Linked DNA regions of Oreochromis niloticus. The protein of the gene in region 2 purifies or fractionates together with the protein of the main gene of each other region. This does not show direct contact. Links are inferred from orthologs where the notes say so. Each region holds a gene or a part of one and is shown on either strand. Other genes may lie near its edges. The genes, in order: trmt112 and bud23.

Region 1 (11,814 bases), on a different chromosome or scaffold from region 2:
ATAACTCCTGACATCATCCTGACAGCCTATAGTTAGGTCAAATTATCCCGTTCCCATGTGTGCAGACATGCTTCAATTTACACACGGGAGATTTCTCTACAGACATTTGTAGAAGTCAGGCCAGTATTATGAAAATGTAGATTTAAAAACTTAATTCAGTTCCTTTTTTAAAAAAAATTTTTTTATGATATCGTTTGAGTGTCTGAAAACCCAAAAAATTCTGTGGTGGGAACAGAGGCATTCTTTGTATAACAGGCGGTGTTATGGTCTGTATAGAGTATCAGTTTGCTAAATATCTACATCTGATTCTGTCTGCTTTCATCCAGGTTCACCTTCAATGCCGAGAAGCTCCCCCGTCTCCGTCTACCTGTTCCCCGATGAAGCCTCAAAGCACGGCCCCTCTGTCCTTCAGGGGGAGCTTGATGGGCTGGTTGCCACAGCGACAGAGGCGCAGGCAGATATGATGTCAGAGGAAGGCTCCGAGGGCTCCACCGACAATGACGACTTCTGCATCCTGGAGGCTCCCGGCATGGGCATCCCTGTGAGGGTCCCCTCTTAGCTTTCACTTCCCTGTCACCTCTCATTCATGAACCCATTTCAGACTCTGTGCTCACTCACAAAATGTCTACATGTGTGTTTATTACAGCCCAGGGATGGGGAGCCCACGGTAACGGTGCTGTGCGAGGGGCCCATTAGAGTGAAGGATAGCCATTTTTCCCGGCCACGTGGCAGCTCAGACCTGCTCCGAGCCCCGAGTCGCTTCCCGGTGCCTCAGAGTAGGGTAGTTTTACGGGAGATCTCTGTGGTCTGGCACCTTTACGGGGGAAAGGATTTTGGAGGCAGGCCTATGTCTCTGCATGCTCAGAACGCGAACAGGTAACAATGCACATGAATTCTTTCATGCACAGATACCCATGGTTATTATATACTTAATTATATAAATATTAAAGTACTGAAACATTAGCACACTGATTGGTCAGTCCAGTCCATAAGTTTTTTGAAACTGTTGTGTACATAGTTTGTCAGATTTATAGTTTTTTTGTTCTCCTGTGTGTGTGGGTGCACCTCTCTGCAGAGGTCGTTCAGTCCCCGCTGGCGTCCGTGGGTCACCTTCTCGCTCCGCCCCCTCCTCTCGACCGCAGAACTCTTGGCGCTCAGCTGGAGGCATCGGCCGTCAGCACAGCCTGCTGATGGAGATACAGCTCACCAAGGTACACTAATGCATTGATATCACTGGTTTGAAAATGTAAGTTTTTTTTAAATACATATTGACATACAGCCATACATCACTATACCTCTGTCTCAACATGTGTCTCCTGTTTTGTCCTCCAGGTGTCGTTCCAGCATGAGTCCTACCCAGTGGCTGTAGCGGGGCAGGATGGGGAGGGGTCAGCAGCACCTGCGGTCGGGGTCGGTCCCGGTGGTGAGCAGCCGCTCTCCAGGCAGGTGTTCATCGTCCAGGAGCTGGAAGTTCGAGACCGACTGGCCTCCTCACAAATCAACAAATTCCTCTACCTCTACACTAGTGAGAGCATGCCCCGCCGAGCCCACTCCAACATGGTGAGACAGAGAGACGGAGGGTCTTTGATTAGAACTGAATTTTCTGTCGTGCACAGCATCTGACTTGGAGTCAAACCATCCTGATGTTGTAAATCTTTACTTGCTTTGTGCACTTTCTATTTAGCTTAGCTTTAATGCAATTAGGGACATGCTGAACAGACTTTGAATGATAGTACTCATGTGGTGTGTCTCATTTTTGTAGTTGACTGTGAAGGCCCTGCAGGTGTGTCCTGAGTCTGGCCTCGGGGGGCCAGAGTGCTGTCTCCGGGTCAGCCTGCTGCCACTGAGACTCAACATCGACCAGGTAACTTTTGGGACTGAATACTGAGAGCTGCTCTTGAACCTCATCCATGAGGTGGTGGCACAAAAAAACAAGTCTTACTGCAGAAATTATTTTGAGTATAGATGTATTAAATCTGTTTGATCGTCATAAATGAGCCGCTTCACACTCCACAGATGTTTCTTTGTAGCTCAAAATTCATTCACTACCATTCATTCTGCTGTTTGGACTGCTCCCATAAAGTATTCACATCTTTTCTTATTTTTTTTTCCTGTTTCTTGTGTAGGACGCACTGTTTTTCCTGAAAGACTTTTTTAGTAATCTAGCTTCCTCTGTTAATCCTTACCTGCCTGTGGATCCTGCAGCTGAAGGTGAGCTCTGTCAGGTCTTCTTTTATCATTCAATTCTTTGATGTCAGATCTGCCGAGCTGATTTTTATGGAGTTGTAGTCTTTTTCTTGTTCATCGTTGTGGCACAATGAATTTTAATTAGCTACAGAGTACATTTAAATGATGACTGAGGTGAATTTTTAGCATGCTAGGTTTGTGACCTGTTGTAATTTCTTTGTTTTCAGTGAAGGCAGATTTCTCCCAGAAGGGGTCTGAGGATCTAGAGATGGCTGCTGCTGCTGCTAGTCTTGGACCTGACCTCACAGCTTCTGTGGAAACTACCTACAGTGAGCAGAGTTCCTCTTCTGCTGGCTCCAGCACCTCCTCTGACCAGCCAATCTACTTCCGGTATGTAGTGACTGAAAAGAGAGAGAGAAATCCAGAGAAAGAGAATAAAAAAGAGCAGAGAATACTGTAAAGATGATGTAAGTTACTAGCTAGGAAATTCCTATGTTACAGAAGCCAAAGAAGAAAATTCACCTCTAACAAATTAGGTTAAATAAAGTAGAGTAACTCAAAGACTAAAAGTTTAAATGATTGATAAAGTTTCCCGCGTCTTGTCTCCATCCTTTTCAGGGAGTTTCGTTTCACATCTGAAGTGCCTATCTGGCTCGACTATCATGGCAAGCATGTCGTCATTGAACAAGTGAGTGGTCATTCAGAGATCCTGTCTACTGATTCAAACAAAAAGCTAAAGGGTTTAAATGATGTGTCTTCACACTTGTTGTTCCTCAGGGGACGTTTGCAGGGATTCTGATCGGTCTGGCCCAATTAAACTGCTCCGAGCTGAAACTGAAGAGGCTCTGCTGCAGACACGGGTAAAAACAAAACAAACCAACAAGCAAACATTTCAGCTATTTTTCAGTAATTTGCCCTAAATTTGCTGTTAGTAGTTTGACTTTCTGAGACTTTCTGCATGTTCCAGTCTCCTCGGGGTCGACAAAGTGATTCAGTACGCCGTCACAGAGTGGCTGACGGACATCAGGAAGAATCAGCTGCCCGGCATCCTGGGAGGTGTCGGACCCATGCACTCAGTCGTCCAGCTGTGTAAGTTGCTTTTGTCTTCTGCAACATTTTTACAGCTGCTTTCCATTGTTGATTGCATTGTGATTCATACTTCCTCTCTCCTTCATCCTGTCCAGTCCACGGAGTGAGGGATTTGTTCTGGCTGCCTATAGAGCAGTACAGGAAGGATGGACGCATCATTCGAGGTCTCCAGAGGGGGGCAGCGTCCTTTGGTACCTCAACAGCATCCGCTGCTCTGGAGCTTAGCAACAGGCTGGTGCAGGCTATCCAGGTACTCTGAGTGCAGATCATGACTCTTAGTTACACAGAAGTTAAAAGCCTGAAGGTAAAGAGCACACATTCCTAATATGCCGATAACTCTTCTGGTGTCTGTGTACCTCTGTGACAGGCTACAGCAGAGACCGTGTACGACATCTTGTCTCCAACGCCTCCTCTGAATCGCTACGCCATCACCGAAGGCCGGGCCACCTCTAGTCGACCTCGAAGAGTCGCCCAGCCTGCAGACCTTAGAGAAGGAGTGGCCAAGGCCTACGACACTGTCAGAGAGGTGCGTGCCCGAATAGACGCTCTTAAAATGTAGAAAGAGTTCGTGGGTTAGAGGCCAGGGTTAACCAGGGCTGAGGATGAAAAGAAAATTTCTGCAGCTACATCTATGTTGGTAGAAGAGGGTAACTATATGTTAAAAGGCCCTGTAGAAACTTCAGCATGCATGAATGCAAAGGGGGCTGAAACCCTAAATTTTTAGACTAAACTGTCTGCTCTCTTTGCTCTCCAGGGAGTGATTGACACGGCCCAACAGTTGTGCGATGTAGCATCCCGCGGCCACGAACAGAAAGGTCTCCCCGGAGCCGTGGGCGGCGTCCTGCGGCAGATCCCGCCCACTGTAGTCCGACCTTTAATAGTGGCCTCTGAAGCCACCTCCAATCTCCTGGGTGGCATGAGAAACCAGATCAAACCGGACGCCCGAAAAGAAGATTTCCTCAAGTGGCGCACAGAGGACGCCCAAGAATGAGGACAGCTTTTTGTGTCTGTGTGTGAGGGAAAGTGTGTGTGCGTATGTGTATACGAGAGTATGAGATTATGATTTGGGAAAGTCTATTCTGTGGGAATCCAGGGGTTGTATGAGTAGCTGCATGTGTGTTGTCTCTAAAAAGAGTCAGCGTGTGTTCCAATGCAAAAAAGAGAAAAGGAAAGAAGAAGAAATTTTAAAAAAAAAGAAGAAAAAAAAAAAGGACTAACTACTGCTGCAGTTCCTGACGCGCAGTGTTTAATGTTGCTCCCACATACATAGACGTGCCAGACTTCATTTTTCTGTTCGGGATTCGCTCGTTTTCCTGCTCTCTGTAACACACTAGTCTTTTTCTTCTTAACGTTAGTGCAAACATATCGCGGTCACTTTCTGCTGGCTTCGTTTTCAGTCTGACCCGGGCAGAGGGGGCAGGTAAGATTATCACGCTCTGTTTCCTCACTCATTTGTGTGCTCTGAACTGTGATGCTTGAAGCTGTTTGTAATTTGAAGCAGTGATTTTAAGCACGAGTTGCACGGAGTTGCACGGAGAAGGGATGTTTTTGACTGAGAGCAGCTTCACTTTAATGAGCCTTCTGCAGATGAGTGGGGGGTACCTGTCTTATGAGGGGGTTGCCATGTGTTAGTTTTGCTCTCTTTGTGCTCATAATGGAAACTGAAAATATTTTTGATCAAGTGTCCTTTGCTTAACACCCTTGCAGATGGTACAAAGCTGTGTGATTGGTTTAGCTGTGACTCCCACTATGCACCCGCTACCCTCAGTGCTGTTATTCGTGCCATAAACCTTACAGTGTCCTTTTTAACTAGTTTGTGTTGCCTTCCTCGGACCTGTACCTCATCCCCTAATCAAAGCTCAGCACATACAGTGGCATACCTGACTGAACAGAAACAACGGGTCACATGAAGTCTCTAAATTTTGTAGCATATTGGATTCTGCTCGAGCTTCACGAAGATGATCGTTTTTCCAAGCTGACGTCACTGCAGCTCTCCTGTTAAATGTCAGATCCTGGGATCTCAATTAGCCCACTATGTCCTCAGAAGTCCTCTGCCCACATCTTTAGTTGCCTTTCTGCATTTTTTTTTTTTTTAATTGTCTCTTCTTCTTAGTGTTTTTTTAATATTATTATTATTTTGTTAAAGCATAAGTATTGTCATATTTGTTTTCAGAGTAAGAGTAAAGAGGTATGTGAATCTGGTGAAAATGGAGGATGGAAAAATTAGGGTTAAAAATGTTTTACATTTTCTCTTTTTTTGTTTGTTTGTTTTTAATCAGTGTGAGGGACGCATGTCCCTGTCTCTGTGTGTGTGTGTGTGTGTGTGTGTGTGTCTGTCTGTGAATGTGTGAGGATGAGAAAATGTGTTTGTGTGCACACATGATGCACGTCTGTGAAGGTGACAGGTTGATGCTTGTTACACCTCTTGCGTGTAATTACTATTTACTATATCATAAACTGTATGAATGACCTGTATAATACAAAGATGAGGATTATACAAAATTAATAGAAAAATTAAAAAAAATTGAGTATAAAAACTGAACACCTGTCTGCCTTTATTTATTTATTTATTTATTGTATTTTTATTATTATGAATCTTATTATTGTTATTATTTATTTATTGTATCTATTGCTAATTTAAGCAGTGTTGTTGCTGTACAGTTTGTATACTATGGCATTTCAGGAACTTACTTGTAATTACTTACATCCAAAATGAGGGCTGGTATCTTCACTTGTTTAAAAAAGGTAAGACTCAAACTAACTCAATCTTGAGCTGCTGCAGTAATTAAACCTTTAAGTATGTACTGGTGCATCAATAATTATATTGCAAATCCTGAGTATTGATAATATTTTTATAAAATATACTGAGAATAGTGCATTTGCATATTTTTTTTTTTTAACTTTTTTAACTTTAATCTCTTTCATTACTTTTTTCTCTGATAATCTTTGTGCATGTTGCGTGATGAAAGGGTTATTACAAAAAAAATCACACTTTTTAATTTTTTACACTAAATACATAATGGGCGATTCTATAGTTGGAGGAAAATTTAGACTTCAAAAATTATAAAAAGAACAAAAGGCAGAGAGAAACTCTGTAATTTTCTATTATGTGTTTAAGAAAAACAAACGTTTATAGAAATAAAGGAAGGAAACTTTTAAAATTCATGTGTCTTTAGTTACAGTGACACGGTGAAGACTGGTAAAATACAAAATATGTCAAAGAGGACTAACCTTTGGTCTACCTATGGTGTTCATGTCACTTTCTCTTGTTCATCTCTCTGGTTTGTCTCCTCCGGTTCCAGGCTAAATAGGTGTGACCGAAATCTACAAAATAAAGGATATATAAATTTCGCTGCCAAAAAACTGATTTTTCAGAAACTTGCAGTGCAAAATTACTGTTATGTAAAATATATTAAAAATATATCAAAATACGTTAATATTATTTAACATATTTAAACTGGTTGGATCATTATAACAAACGTGTCAAAAAAACAAAAAACAAAGAAAAGATGGAATTATAACTTACTTTCTAATTTGACCTGCAGTTTGGTACTGCAGAAGTAGGAACAAGAGGGAAAAAAACAAAAAAGAGGGGTGTTCAAAAGCTACTTTATATATTACATATTTTGGAAACATTTTTTGTATAATTTATACGACAAATATTTGTTTTAGTGTTTTTGTGGTGCAGAAAATGTGCCTTTATTTAAAAAATACCCCTAATAATAAATTAAAAGCCACTAGGAATCAACGGAAGCTTCGGGAATCTTTTACGCGACGTACCACCGTCACTTCCGGTGCACATGTAAACGCCGCAGCGTGGTTTACGTGTAGCTGTCAGAGTGTTCGCAGTTTTCTGGCTTTTTAGCGCCTGTTTGTAAACATGAAGCTCCTCACGCACAACATGTTGACGTCTCACGTGAAAGGGGTCACCAAGGGATACCCACTGCTCATCAAGGTAACCGCGAAACACCTGGACAGCAGCTAATTCTAAAACACCAGAGCTCACCGAGCTTATCGCGACACACGTTTCTGCTAACGCCGAGTTCTAGTGTTTAGGTTTGATTTATGCAGCAGCAGTTCACAGTTCGCTTTATACTGTAAGGCTGAGACGTCCAGGATGAGAGAGAAACCCAAACAATCAGATGTTTCCCTCTGAGCTGCATTTGGCAACAGTGGGAAGGAAGAACTCCCTTTTAGTAGGAAGAGACCTTCGGGAGATCCAGGCTCAGGGAAGGGCAGCCGTCTGTTGTTTCTCTGCGGTTTTTACGGCTAATATCTTTGCTATTTTGGTAAACAGGTTCTAAACTACATGATTTATGAAGGGGCCATATATAAAATGAAGAAAATACGTTTATAGTGTGGTTATATTATATTTGTTGCATTTTCTACTGACCTCTTGGGCAGCTCTCTCATTAAAAAAAAGACATTTTTAATGTCAGGGAGCGCTTTTACCTCGATAAGAATATGGAAAAGTAACTTGATAGGCTTGGTAAGGCTTGATATTGTTATAGGTCAAAAAGTAATTAAGAACAGTTTAAATACCAACACGAATCCAGGAACAGTTGGCAGGGTCAGGAGTAAGAGGAGAGTAATAAAGGGAGAGTACAGAGAGACAAGGACAAAACCCACACTATCAGAGAGAGAAAACAAAACTTAATGACATCAATTAGTGGGATAAAATGTGAGGAGAGTGGAAATAATCCGAGCCTATTGCAGCATAACCTGATCCAGCTCCAGCTATAATCTTCATGATGATGAGAGGTTTTAAGCCCTAATCGTAAAGGTAGTCAGTATACAGGGAGTGCAGAATTATTAGGCAAGTTGTATTTTTGAGGAATAATTTTATTATTGAACAACAACCATGTTCTCAATGAACCCAAAAAACTCATTAATATCAAAGCTGAATGTTTTTGGAAGTAGTTTTTAGTTTTAGCTATTTTAGGGGGATATCTGTGTGTGCAGGTGACTATTACTGTGCATAATTATTAGGCAACTTAAAAAACAAATATACCCATTTCAATTATTTATTTTTGCCAGTGAAACCAATATAACATCTCCACATTCACAAATATACATTTCTGACATTCAAAAACAAAACAAAAACAAATCAGCGACCAATATAGCCACCTTTCTTTGCAAGGACACTCAAAAGCCTGCCATCCATGGATTCTGTCAGTGTTTCGATCTGTTCACCATCAACATTGCGTGCAGCAGCAACCACAGCCTCCCAGACACTGTTCAGAGAGGTGTACTGTTTTCCCTCCTTGTAAATCTCACATTTGATGATGGACCACAGGTTCTCAATGGGGTTCAGATCAGGTGAACAAGGAGGCCATGTCATTAGTTTTTCTTCTTTTATACCCTTTCTTGCCAGCCACGCTGTGGAGTACTTGGACGCGTGTGATGGAGCATTGTCCTGCATGAAAATCATGTTTTTCTTGAAGGATGCAGACTTCTTCCTGTACCACTGCTTGAAGAAGGTGTCTTCCAGAAACTGGCAGTAGGACTGGGAGTTGAGCTTGACTCCATCCTCAACCCGAAAAGGCCCCACAAGCTCATCTTTGATGATACCAGCCCAAACCAGTACTCCACCTCCACCTTGCTGGCGTCTGAGTCGGACTGGAGCTCTCTGCCCTTTACCAATCCAGCCACGGGCCCATCCATCTGGCCCATCAAGACTCACTCTCATTTCATCAGTCCATAAAACCTTAGAAAAATCAGTCTTGAGCTATTTCTTGGCCCAGTCTTGACGTTTCAGCTTGTGTGTCTTGTTCAGTGGTGGTCGTCTTTCAGCCTTTCTTACCTTGGCCATGTCTCTGAGTATTGCACACCTTGTGCTTTTGGGCACTCCAGTGATGTTGCAGCTCTGAAATATGGCCAAACTGGTGGCAAGTGGCATCTTGGCAGCTGCACGCTTGACTTTTCTCAGTTCATGGGCAGTTATTTTGCGCCTTGGTTTTTCCACACGCTTCTTGCGACCCTGTTGACTATTTTGAATGAAACGCTTGATTGTTCGATGATCACGCTTCAGAAGCTTTGCAATTTTAAGACTGCTGCATCCCTCTGCAAGATATCTCACTATTTTTGACTTTTCTGAGCCTGTCAAGTCCTTCTTTTGACCCATTTTGCCAAAGGAAAGGAAGTTGCCTAATAATTATGCACACCTGATATAGGGTGTTGATGTCATTAGACCACACCCCTTCTCATTACAGAGATGCACATCACCTAATATGCTTAATTGGTAGTAGGGTTTCGAGCCTATACAGCTTGGAGTAAGACAACATGCATGAAGAGGATGATGTGGACAAAATACTCATTTGCCTAATAATTCTGCACTCCCTGTAGTGCTGAAGGCTCTGCCATTTTTTCTCCTGCAAACTCCAGGAACCAGAAGTCAGCCTGCGCTCTGAGAGCCAAGTGCTCGCATGGGATGAAATGGCACTATAAGATCACTACTGGGTATTCCACAGTCAGATGTATTGGCAAGAAATTAAGTCTGTTATTTAAGTTTTAATAGTTGATACTGCAGCTTTATCACCACACATCCAGACTCAAGGAGTTTCTTTTGCAGAGCCTTCATACTGATCTGAGATCAGTTACACTTACATACATACACAAATTTAGTTTGTTCACACGGGTTTACACTTAATTGGTGTTAAGCCTTTGTAAACCTACACAGGTTTTATGTTTTTATCTATATATATAAAACGAAATGTGCTGTACAAATAAAATTGCCATTACACGCAGTAACAGTTGCTGAATCACTGAAATGCACTTTACACTGAGCGTTTTATCATGTTGTCTAATTTGTGCTTGTGTGAATCGTGTGTGACTGTATATACTTTTTTATGCACCAGATGGCAGGGCAGCGCTCCTAATGTCACTGTAACCTCTGCGTCAGTGACAATAAAGCTTAATTCTAATTTTATTCTTGTGAAATCCGGTGTGAGATTTTAAGAAGTAGTCACGATTAATTAAAAATATTTTTTTCCTGTTACACACACGACAGAGTGGTTGATAGTTACTGCTGCTGTTTACCCCATAAACATCTTTTATTTTTATTTATTTATTTTCATATACAGTTAAATGTAAAATAGCACAGCAGAAATTTGGATATTATCTCAGGGGAATGTTGAAGATGGTTACATTGTACATCAGCTGTGTAACATTTCACTGAAAACAAGTATATAATTGCGTCAAACATTAAAATGTTTCTCATCTATAATTATTGATGGGTTGCATTTAAACCCTTGCCTATTGCCAGCAGTAACATGCTTGCAATAGGCAAATATGCACATCTGGTCTTGTGTGACATCACGCATGCGTGTTTTGAATGAGTGGTAATACTGAACTTTTTAAACTCGTGCGTCTCTGTTGCGCAGGCCACTGAGGTGAAGGTGAATGAGGTGGAGTTTAACCCTCAGTTTGTCAGCCGGATGATCCCCAAACTGGAGTGGGGCGCTCTGGTCCACGCAGCGGAGGAGGTGAGTCAGACATCACCGACTTTCATTGTTGATGCTAAACTGGCTGTATTGGGGTGTGAGTTTGAATGGATGAATGTTTAATGGACTGGCTACCTGTTCAGGTTGTGTCCTGCCCCTCACTGTTTGTTGGGATGGGCTCCAGTGAACCTGAGCTGGATGAGTGGTTAAGAAAATGATTCAAAGTGGCATAAAAAGAAAAAGAGAACTAATATTCGGTGAGCACCCTTTGCCTTGAAAGTAACATCAGTGCTCGGCACGCTTGCTTCTTAAGATGAATAATAAGGGAGGTTGTTTGAGTGTGTGTGGATTTCTTCTCCCTTTTCATGTGACCACAGGCTGAATAAGGTTATTTTTTATGACTCTGGCTTTTATGTATGAGGTTGTTGTCTCGCTACGCCTTCCTGGTGATACTGCATCAATCTAATTGATTCATAAAGCGTCACAGGACTTGTGTTTATAAAAAAATGCTCCACAGTAAACTAGATCACTGGGGTGCATGTTGTAACGTAAACACCCAATGCAATCCTTTCTCTCTCTGCAGCTGGGTCATCGGCAGGACCTGCCAGGCGAGCTGGTGCAGGACTTCGAGAAAAACGAAGACTTCCTGAAGAAAGTGCACCGAGTGCTGTTAGAGGTAAATGGCTCCAAGATGCCAATTTTACCCCCCCTGTCTCTTCAAGGTCACTGTGGAAGTGACCTCAAAGGCAAAAACACCAAAACATCAGTGTCTTTAGTGGGCACGACTAGAAGAAATCTGTGAAATTTAGATTTGCCAGCTGTTTGTGGGTAATCAACACTGATACTACTCTGTCTACAAAATGCGACTGCTGCGTTAAAATCTTTCAAGCTGGCTTTATATGTGTAAAAATGCTTGACACTAACATCGGGCTGATACTTCATCTAACTTTAAGCCCCTTAGGCCACAGAGCCTGTCATTCACTCTTCTTCTTGACTGGCTGACAAAACTACAGCACAACCAGGAGCAGCCCACTCACACTGCTACCTGGTGACAGTAAAACATCTACAACATGTGTACATACAGTTCACAAACACA
Region 2 (10,941 bases):
TCTGCATTACAAAGCCACTGCAGGGCAGAGATACTGAAACAGAAACAGAGTTTTTTAAAGGGGTCATAAATCATTCAAAATTCCCAGGAAGAGCCTGACTTATAAGTATCCTTTGTTCTTTACCTGACGCAACCATCAAAGGTACCAGGTCTGAACGGCATCCCGTGGCCCATGTCTCCCAGTACGAGGTCTCCTTCCACCTCTCTGTCCAGTGCAACATCTGTCACACAGAAGAGAATTACATTTGTTTAGAGTTTATGCATTTCTTGTGGTGACATAAATGCACAAAAACAACCTTAACCACATATTGGATCTATTATTATGCTTAAAATAAATTTTAGGCTTAAATTTCATTAGCCAATCACATGGTAGCAACTCGATGTACTTAGGCATGTAGACCTGGTCAAGAAGATCAGCTGAAGTTCACTAAGCATTAGAATGAGGAAGAAAGGTGATTTAAGTGACTTGAATTAAGCATGGTTGTTGATGCCATCAGGGCTGGTGAGAGGATTCAGAAGCTGCTGGGATTTTCCCCACAAAACCACTTCTAATGTTTGCAAAGAAAGGTCAGAAAAATAAAATATCCAATAAGGAGCAGTTCAGAGTTAAAACATCCTGTTGAAGTCAGAGGAGGATGGCTTGACTGCTTGGACTTGATAGAAAAGCAACAGTAAATCAAGAGTATTTTGAAACGCACAACACGTCTGAGCTGTAGCAGATGGGCTACACCAGCAGACCACCACACCAGGGCCATACCTGTCTGCTAAGAACAGAAAACTGAGGCTAAAATTTACATAAGCTCACCAAAACTGGATTTGAGAAACATTGCCTGGTGATGATGAGTCTCAATTTCTGCTGCAGCATTTGGATGGTACGGTCAGAATTTGGCCTAAATGACATTAAAGCGTGGATCCATCCTGCCTTGTATTTACAGTTTAGACTGCTGGTGGTGTATTGTGGTGGGGATATATGATTTTGCACACTTTGAGCCTCTTAGTACTAACTGACCATTGTTTAAAAACCACTGTCTGAGTATTGTTCCTGACCCTGTCCATTCATTTACAACCACACTGTACCATCTATTGACACATCATGGACGTACAGATAACAAATCTGCGGCAACTGTGTGACACGATCATGTCAATATGGACCAAACTCTGAGGGATGTTTCCAGCACCTTAGCACAAGTGTAGCTAATAAAGATACTAGGTCAGGGCTCGCAAAATCGCTAGCCCGACGTCCCGGGGCTAGCGATTTTTCCAGTCGGGCTACCAAAATCTAACTCAGCCCTGCCCGTCGGGCTATCATAGGAAGGAAAAATATGTGTCAATGCTTTTGCATTTTCTTTCGCAAATGTAGCTGAGTAATTATGTCATTGGCATCGATGAGCCACTGTCAATATGTGAAATCGAGTTTGAATTTTCGCTTCTTCTTTTTTGGCTTTTACTTTCACTTTGCGATCGCGCGAACTGTGTATAGAGAGCAGCAGTACTGATTGGTGAGTGACAGATTAATTGCGCACCAATTCCTTTGACATCGTCTTATCACTGATTAGCTACTATTCAAACGTGACAAGTGAAATCTCCCACAGCAAACTTAAACATGTGATAGAGGTTGATTGTGCAGAGAATCGCTGACTGTTATGTAAGTACGTGTGTAAAAACAGATGGATTTACACAGGAATTTTAGTTCTGCAGAGCCAAATAATAAAGGTCAGGGTGAAGAAGGAGCAGCCAAAGAAAAGCCGACCAAAAAAAAGGAAAAGTTATGACAAATCAGACTATGAGGCAAAAAGAAAGCTCAGCTTTTTTGGTTTCATGGACAAAAGAATTTCTGTGGCTGGAATATGACAATGTAAATACCATAATGTTCTGCCAGGTGTGTCGTGAGTTTCCCTCAATATCTGAGTCGACAAGCGCCTTTGTTACTGGGACCAGTAATTTTAAGAAAGACCCCATCAGAATCCATGAGAAATGCATTATTGCTCAGTCTGCAGTATCTTTCCCAGAACAAACACCAATTGCAAAAACATACTAAAAATAAACCAAGCACAACAAGAAGTCCTGAAAAAGCTGTTTAGAACAGTGTTTCTAAAGAGTATACCATTGGCAAAATGTAGCCGTATTTGCAAACTTCAAAAAGCAAATGTCCTAGATCTTGGTTCCACTTACCTCTTACCCGGGACTTAAATGGCCTGTATTTATTTATAAAGCATTTATGTATTTATACTTAAGCAGAAATTTCAGATTCAGGATCTGACACAGACTGATTCATGTTCTACACAGTTCCAAATATTTGAGTTGATGACTGTAATTTTTATACAATTGTTGTAATTTGTGTTTTAACAATTTTTTGATGGATGTTTTGTTTCCTTTACAATATTATACTTTAATGTATATTACTGTAAAGGAAACAAAACATCCATCAAAAAATTGTTCTCATTTTTTTTTTTCGGGCTACTTAAATTTATTTTGGGCTACCAAAAACTGAAGAGTGCCTCCCCGAAGGGCTACCAGGGATTTTGAAATTTTGCGAGCCCTGTAGGTGAATGCATTTTATACTCTAGTTTTATGACTATCTATAAGTGTGTGAATGTATTGGATGTCCTGAAGCTAACAATGTCTTCCTTTAACTGATCAAGTTCCAGTCTGTAACCAGATTTTAGGAATATCTTTGGAATATAATCAAGCTTTGCACTATATGTTGGGAAAAACATTATGTTTTAACACACGGACATCAATAAAACAGTAGCCTGACTGTTCATTTCCTTCAGGTGTGTTAGAATATGCCAGTATTTAGCTGCACATGTACAAATTTTTAATGATATATTTAGTATATCATGACTGATATAAAGTTTGAGGGTCAAACCAACCCAACATCGCGGTGCTGATGTCGACTCCGACCCAGTAGTGTCCCTCTTCTGACAGGTAATCTCCGCTGAGACCGGAGCCACACCTGAGAGGCACAGACCAGATTGTTTCTCATCACAAATACATCAGATTACTGTGTCACATTACAATGAGTTATGTTCAAACTAAAACCCAAAACAATGACTTTTCTACAACACCAGCAGACATTCGGACTTTTGCCACATTTCCACCTTTAAGTACCACGAAAAAAAACGGTGCTTAAAATAAATCCGGGAGGTACAAAACCCTCCACAGCCAATCATAAACGTTTACATCCCCCACCTCCCAGGTTCTTAGACTAAAAGCACTGCGGCATCCCCCAAGCAAGAGGCTTCTTGGAGGATAAAGATAATATCCCAGAAACTTGATTTAGACCCTCGTCCTTTTAGTCAAATCACAAGAACATTCCTAGTTCTTGGAAATGCTTCCTGTACTGGAAAATGCCAGTTTCTCAAAACTCAATTTTTCAGTGATTTCCTTAAATGCTTTACTTCTTTTTTCTTTTCTTTTTTTCCATTACTAATAAAGAATTCAATAAAGTTTGATTGGAGCTAGTTTTAAACGTACATTCATTCATGCAACAGTATCGCCAATATGCAGTCTACCTGTCAAAGCACTGCTTAGTTTATTAATGAGCCTTTTCATGTTATTGTTAAGAGTAAATATGTACTACCATGTTACATCTCTAACTTTATGTACTTGCTATAAGTAAATTCAGCCACTCACTCACCCAACATCCAACAAGAAGCAGGGCTGTCCCTCTGGCAGGCTCAAAAGCTCCACAGCTCTCTCTGACATCTGGGTCTGGATCTCAATCATTCGAGAGCTAAGAAGCAACAAAACACAACAAGATTTCAGATCTTTTATATTATTAAAACATTTTTTGGCATATGCAAACTTAACTTTCTCGCTTATGAACACAAAATCAGGCAACTTGCTGCTGACGGAAAGGCATAAAACTGTTCTCTATTCTGTTTTACAGTAAATCCGTCTGAATTGGAGGGGAAAAGGGGGGTAATGACACAGCTATACCCCTTTTTTGGAAGAGGAAGGGTGGTTCATACATGACAACCACAAACAAAGCCTCTTTAAGTTGTTATATGTTTGACCCAAAGGAGTTTTAGGTGTTTGAATCTTTGGTCAGTGTCCCACATCAAAGTAAGTTAACCAAGGTGGGAGTGTATGAAAGAGGCTAAACATGGGGCATCTTTAAATTTAGTCTGAGTCAGAAAAATGTATCCTTTCCTGAGGTCTTCAAATTAATTTATACGCTGAACAACTGTGCAGTAATGAGCATTCACCCAGAGGTGCAACTAATGAGTTCTCATTATCAACCGACTGTACCTGGTTTGATACAGATTAACTGATTGCTCATTTAGTCCTAAAACCAAACGCTTTCCAATTAAACATAAATAAACAGCAGTCATGAAGCCATGAAGGCAGAATAAAAATGGTTTACTAAATGAAGTGTCTCATTCATATACAGAATGTATATATAAAGTGCAGCGGACAGTAAAAGGGTTGAAATAAAACTAGATTCTCTATGTTAGAAATGCAACCCTAACAAAAAACTAAATTAAGCGCACAGTTTAATTATGTCAAAGGACAGAAACACAGAGACACTGGATAAAAAAAAGAGCAGTGTGTTACATATAAACATGTAACGTAGTCACAAACATAGTATCGTTACATCCACACTCACTTTTGGGAGTACTTCTTGGCCTCCTCTTCGTTGTAGAACTGGAGAAATTAGAGCACATCAGACTGACAGATCAGCAACACTTCAGTTTACTTATACAAGCCTTCAGCTTCAAGTATCATTTAAACCAGACCAACACAAAGCTCACCAAATCACATCCTGTGATTGAAATAAATAACCGACTCATGTTCACTAAACAACCATTTAAACCATGTCTTTAAAGCTGCTTCAGCTGGAGGCCTTTAAAGAGCCATTTACAGATATAAAATGCTCCTGTAGAAGAAGCACCGGCAGAAAACAAAAGCTAAAAAAAACACAATAAACCGTCCGACTGACCACATCTGGAGGAGCTGAGTGTTCGGGTCGTCGACAGCTGGACGCCATACTCGCTTCTCCTTGTCAGTCGTTATGTTACGGGAGTAATTTTACTTTATAAACAAGCTGCCTGATAGCAAAAGACCCACACGTGAATTATGGTGACGTCATTCACAAGCGACGACCCGCCTCTTCTTCTTTTGCACCGTTTGGAACGATGTAGCGCTTTACTGCCCCCCTCTGACCTGCCGTGCGGACCATCCTAAGCTTTCTAAATAAATAAATAAATAAAAACATATGAAAAGATACTTTTTTATTATCAAGATAGATTTTTACTTTGATCCTAACATACTATTATTATCTTAAATTTTGACTAAATTCTCAAAATTAAAAATGCTAATAAAAAAGATTCAAGTTGAATTGGAATTTCAATTTCTTTTAATTAATTGATAATAAATTGTTAGAAAAAAACGACTTTCTAATACTTTATTCTGAATGTGGTCCTAATACTCATGCATTATTTTTTGTAGCAAATTTGAAATACTTACAACTTCAACTTAAAATCTGGATCTTGGATCTTTCGACTTTAATCTAGGACAGTCTTTTATTACTGCTATTGAGTTTAGGAAGGCAACATTTTGAGATAAATGTCTGAATAATATTTGTAGATTAACTGTAATGAAAAAAATCAAATCAGCTTTTATGTCCATATTGTTAATACTATATTTATTACATCATTATAATCACTAATGATAGTCATTTTTGACCCTCCATATCGCCACCAACTTACTGTTTTTTTTTTTAATGTATCTTTTTATTGTCTATTTTTTGCACCTTTATCCAGGTTCTCATTCATCTTGACTCCAACAAAAACAGGAACTTTATGCAGAAACTAATTCATTCATGAAATCCTCTTTTTTTTTAAATTTCTTGAGCTGCAATATTTTAAAGCTGCCCTTCTTGTGGTCATCATCTCATCTGAGGAAGCACTTCCTCATAAAGAGCTACAAATATCCGCTTTAATTAGCATCCAGACAGATAGAAACCCTTTCCTCTATAAAATTCACGTTTAATTAATCACACAGTAACAAAGTCGGAAAAATCTTATCAAAGGTTGTGCCTCTGTATTGAATAGGTAGCTACTCTGTCTTTTAAATGACAAAAGAAAATAAAAAATACTGTTTTAAGAATAAGGAATTGCCATTTCAGTAAAAGAAGAGGACTTACATTAAATCTCTCTAAAATGTTTCAACTATATTTTACATTTTAGAAGATAAAGAGAAATCAATTGTCCTCATTTCCTTCAATTTTACACGATAAATAAAGTGTTTATGTTGATCTTTATGTCGCCGGTGATCTGCTAAATGATTGGTCGGTTGTGTTTGACTACTTCCTGTAAACATTGACTCTGATTGGGTCCTCGTTCTCTCACGCGCCGGATGCTGCAGCTGTTTTCCGGCCCCTTCTCGGTAAAATGGCAGAGGTCGGTCAAAGGCTGGGGAACGGAGTTTACCGGCTTTCCGCTCTCAAAACCAGCCAGAGTCGAGCCGTGTGCCCCGGAGAAAGTCCCGGGTGTCATATAACAAACCATGCCTCCGTTTCCGGTCGGGTTACAGAGAAATCAGTCCAGTGTGGACGTGCAGTTCAGTCAGCTTCAGAAAGCAGAGAAAAACTTCTCAGGTCAGAGAAAGTTTCCACAGTGAAGGAAAGCGGGAGTCAGGTGTTGGAGAGTGCGGCTGCCTCCGGTTTCATCGCATTTTTAGAAAACATGGGGAGCCTGCGAGCTCATAAAGCTGCTCTTTTCCTCCAGAAGAAGCTGCTGCCTTGCAGGAGGACTCTGTGGACGACAGCAGCTGTCTCCATCCACTCTGACACCTTCAGTTCCCCCCAACAGCGCCAAGCTCTCTGCACGTTTACCTTCACCTTGGCAGATCCTGGATCAGACAGGCTGGGCTGTGGACACGGACTGAGATGTCTGAATCTGCGACCTGACACCCTGAAGCCAAATTTCACAGCAGCTAGAAGCTACAGCTGGAGCTCAGAAGATACTCCTCTGCTGCACAGGAGCAGGACTGCCTATTATGACATCCTCAAAGTGTCTCTCAATGCCACACAGTCTCAGATCAAGACGGCTTACTACAAGCAATCCTTCATCTACCACCCTGACAAGAACCCCGGGAGCAAGGAGGCCACCCAGCGCTTCTCTGATATCAGCGAGGCTTACACCGTGCTGGGAAACATCAGCCTGAGGAGGAAGTACGACCGTGGCATCCTGAGCCGGGCAGACATCCAAAATGCAGGCAGACCCTCCAGTAAAGAGGCTTCCAGCAGATCCACGGGCTCCCCACAAAAGCCTCAGCAGAGAGCCAGACAGTTCTCCCAACCTGGAGGGAGGCCCATATTTGATTTTGATGCCTTTTATCAGGCTCACTACGGGGAGCAGCTGCAGAGAGAGAAGGACCTGAGAGCCAGGAAGCAGCGCATGGAGGAGGAGCTGAAGAAGCATCATAGCAGGTGGAGGCAGAAGAAAATGATGGAGGTGGCTGTGGTAATGCTGCTGGCCATGGCAGGGCTAATTATTATCAATGTCAAGGCCTTGAAATAGAAGCGGCAGCCGGAGGTGCTCCTTTCTTGGGCTGCACTTTATGACACTCAGGGTGAGGAGAAGGAGGTGGAGACGGGAAGTGTTTGCACGGTTGCTGACAGCTGAAGAGGTTCATTTGTTTTCAGGAGTAAACAAACCGTCTCACTCGGATTATTTAAGCTGTTTCAAGCAGCAACTTGTTAGACTCCATGTCTGTACTGTATACTGATTGTTTAAACACATGGGTTCATTTTCCAAGTCTTTGATTTAAAAAAACAAAACAGATCTTGCTTTTTACAGTCGTTCCTCCTGTTCATGCCAAGTGATGACAAAAAAGAGGCCAGGCTTCATTTTAATAGTTCACAGGACATTGAATTGACCTTTAAACCACGCATGATGTGTTTTTATTGTAAGCGATGTTGGACAAAAGCCCCAGTTTTCTCCTTCCTTTCAAAAAACTGAAGCTAAAATGAGCCTTCAGCTGTCCCCATTTCAAAGAGGATGTCCTCTTGAAAGACGGGCTCTTTTGTTGGCAGCTCACTATTTCTATATCTGCCTGAGCTCAGCGTGGAACCGCTTTTCAGGGAAACAAAGAGACTGGGTTTTGAAGGTTTTGAAAGTTCATTTAAAAAGAAGATCGCTTAAATCCAACAACCTGTGCCTACACTTAGTGGAAAATCAGGTTGTGCATTTGTCTGAATGTCCCTTTTTTTGTTTGTATTGGTTCATTGTGAACACTATGCAAACCACACACGGTGTGAACATGTCCTTAATGACCAGTGTAAACATGAGGAATGATTACAGAAAGCAAAACCTGGTTGAGACAGGCAGGGGTCCTGTACGGTCCCGTAAGAAGACAACTGAATGTTTCAGTTTCTCCACGTGTAGAAGGGCGATGGATCGAAGGCAGTGGAAACTGTAAACCACCCCACAGGTTGGGGACTTGAATGTAAGTCAGGGGTGTCAAACTCATTGTAGTCACCTGCAGCCCATTTTGATCCACAGTGGGATGTTTGGAGCGAAACCATTAAACACCACAGTGGACCTGCAAAAGCACAAAACCTTCACATGTAGCTGTTGTAACTAACAAAAGCAACAATAACTTTGACCCATTTTCACTCATGTGCAGTGATGTTTGTGCATTTTATGAACAAGTTAAACATGTCGCTGCTGTCCTGTAGTGTAACAGTTTGTGTTACCCTGCATTTGACACCCCTGATACACTCAGTGTATGGGTGATGTCCTCATTACCTCATTTCATGTTTTTATGTCTTAAGAGGTCAAAGCTCCAACAACACCTGTGGTATTAAGATTACCCTGATGAAGGCAGCAGGTTGGTAAAAATCACAAAACTGTTCTTTATACTGCAAAGGTTGCTGGAGCTTTGACTTCTTTGGACCCTTTTTCTTTTCTGTGCACCTATGAAATAGGTGTAGAAACATGTTGTAAACATGTTGCAAACCATGTACCCGGCTTAGCCTTGGGTTAGTCTTTCTAGCACCTGTACTATTCTGTAGTAACAGAGGGAAGCCAGACAGCTTTTGGTGGTTCAGATTGATTTCTGTCTATCAAACTTCTTCAAAAGGACGAAGATACCTTTACTTCCTGAATAATGCACAATTCCTTTGGCCTTCCTTATACTCCAGCTCTGTAATGTGGAAAAATCACTTTAGTAAAATTTGAAGATTATGGAAGCTTTTTTTTGTCCCACTGGGGGGAAAAAAGATTTGGTACAAAATATTTATTTTTTTCCATACATAAGTCAAAATTTAAAGTTACAATCTTGTTACTTATTTTGACTTTTCAGCGGCAAAAACAAGTTTCCATATAAGATAAGCTGTTATTAGTAGCATTATCCACATACTGACACCTCTCTCTATTTCAGTGTAAATATGTGTATGTATTGTAAAATTAAAATTTAAAGTCGATTATTATGTGTAAGGAAAGCTGCAGTACCAAAAATACAATAAAACTGTGGAGTGCATCCCTTTTGTTCCTAACTGATTCAGCATCAGGGCAGAGTCTGTTCCAGCTGCCGGAAGCAGAGGACAACAACATGGAGGGCTAACACAAAGAGACAAGCACTATTCACATTCACACCTATGACCAATTTAGAATCACACGTTACTCTAACATGCATGTGTAAAGGGAGAGAACCTATAAAGCAGTGGTTCTTAACCTGGGTTCGATTGAACTCTAGGGGTTCGGTGAGTCGGTCTCAGGGGTTCGGCAGAGCCTCTGCCGTGACATGCACGGCTCATTTTGTGCACCAGTAAAAAACATATCTATGTCTTGAATTTGAAAAAAATCATATTTTATTTTTCACTAAAGAGGGGTTCAGTGGATGCGCATATGAAACTGGTTAAGAACCACTGCTATAAAGGTACAGAGATAAAGTCCCCGGCCTGAGAACTCAAACCCTTCTTGCGTTCCCGCTGTGAGTCGACAGCGCTGCAGTTACCTAGTAATTACCTGAGCTGAGGATCTGGCCCAGCTTAGAGGCGATTACATTTTAGTTTGGGCCTGAATCCAGGATTCTTTTTCATTGTGAGATAACTGTATCATGTCCTCATGAATAGAAATTAATAATTAAAAAAATGCATTATGTGATACTGAGTTGGTGTTTGCAGGAAAATACTTACTAATTAAATACTGTGTGCACAGCAGATTTTTTTTCTTTATTTTTAGCCAAGGACGTTCTCATTTTACCCGTGTTTGCCCCCCCCCCCATGTTACAAGAGCTGACCTGTAGAGGGCATCTCAGCACAATGAAATGATCACTACTTTACAGCTGGAGGCCTGACGGGCTCCCCGAGGCTCTTTGTGTGAGTATGAATGCATGCAAGCTGTAACATATTACAGACATAAAAGCACTACAAATATTGACTCATGTCTTTAACTTGTTGTCTAGCATAAGTCAAACATTTGTAAACTGTGGCTTTTTAAATTGAGATCACTGGCCACCCTGATCAGTCTACGTGGGGAGCATGAAAGTATGGCAGGTCATTTTTTGTCAGCCGTAGAGCTTAATTATAGAATAAAGGTGGGTGGTTACGTTAAATATAAACACACAAACAGAGAGCAAACCCACGGTACATATGAGTTTTCATACCTCTGCTAACACAGATAGACTCATAAGTAGGTCTCTTTTTGTCTCTGTGTTACTTTCGGTACTTTATGAGAATATGTTTGTTGAAACGCTCAAGTCTGTCACCTGCCTGAACTTCTGACCGGTGACATCTCAGCGGGAATAACTCGAGAAAGCGTGCAAAAGTTTGTTCACATTTTATTCACAGAAATATAAAGTAGTATGTCAAGTACATCACTTTGTACAAAATTGCACAGACTCTTCAAAACTCAGTCAGACAACAGAAAAACTCGGCTGTAGGAGTGTTAAGAAAATAAAAGGGAGACGATGAGTAATCTGCGATATG

The links.
Region 1: the proteins of bud23 (region 2) and trmt112 purify together in Homo sapiens (affinity purification with mass spectrometry; 5 studies listed by BioGRID and IntAct, counting the BioPlex papers as one, with this or other methods). This does not show direct contact. The link is inferred for Oreochromis niloticus from reciprocal best matches to the Homo sapiens genes BUD23 and TRMT112.

What each region holds. Positions count from the first base shown.
Region 1 is NC_031966.2:20,625,284-20,637,097, reverse strand, and holds the start of trmt112 (multifunctional methyltransferase subunit TRM112-like protein), read left to right. Parts: upstream 1-7,030; 5' UTR 7,031-7,156; coding exon 7,157-7,231; intron 7,232-10,658; coding exon 10,659-10,760; intron 10,761-11,301; coding exon 11,302-11,394; intron 11,395-11,814. Other genes in the region: atg2a (autophagy-related protein 2 homolog A), read left to right, coding at 327-541, 647-876, 1,076-1,211, 1,333-1,560, 1,763-1,864, 2,127-2,211, 2,415-2,577, 2,806-2,875 and 5 more. UniProt on the Homo sapiens protein: Acts as an activator of both rRNA/tRNA and protein methyltransferases. Together with methyltransferase BUD23, methylates the N(7) position of a guanine in 18S rRNA.
Region 2 is NC_031979.2:23,122,079-23,133,019, forward strand, and holds the start of bud23 (18S rRNA (guanine-N(7))-methyltransferase), read right to left. Parts: upstream 5,133-10,941; 5' UTR 4,993-5,132; coding exon 4,945-4,992; intron 4,650-4,944; coding exon 4,612-4,649; intron 3,736-4,611; coding exon 3,640-3,735; intron 2,956-3,639; coding exon 2,873-2,955; intron 221-2,872; coding exon 124-220; intron 34-123; coding exon 1-33. Other genes in the region: dnajc30b (dnaJ (Hsp40) homolog, subfamily C, member 30b), read left to right, coding at 6,398-7,528.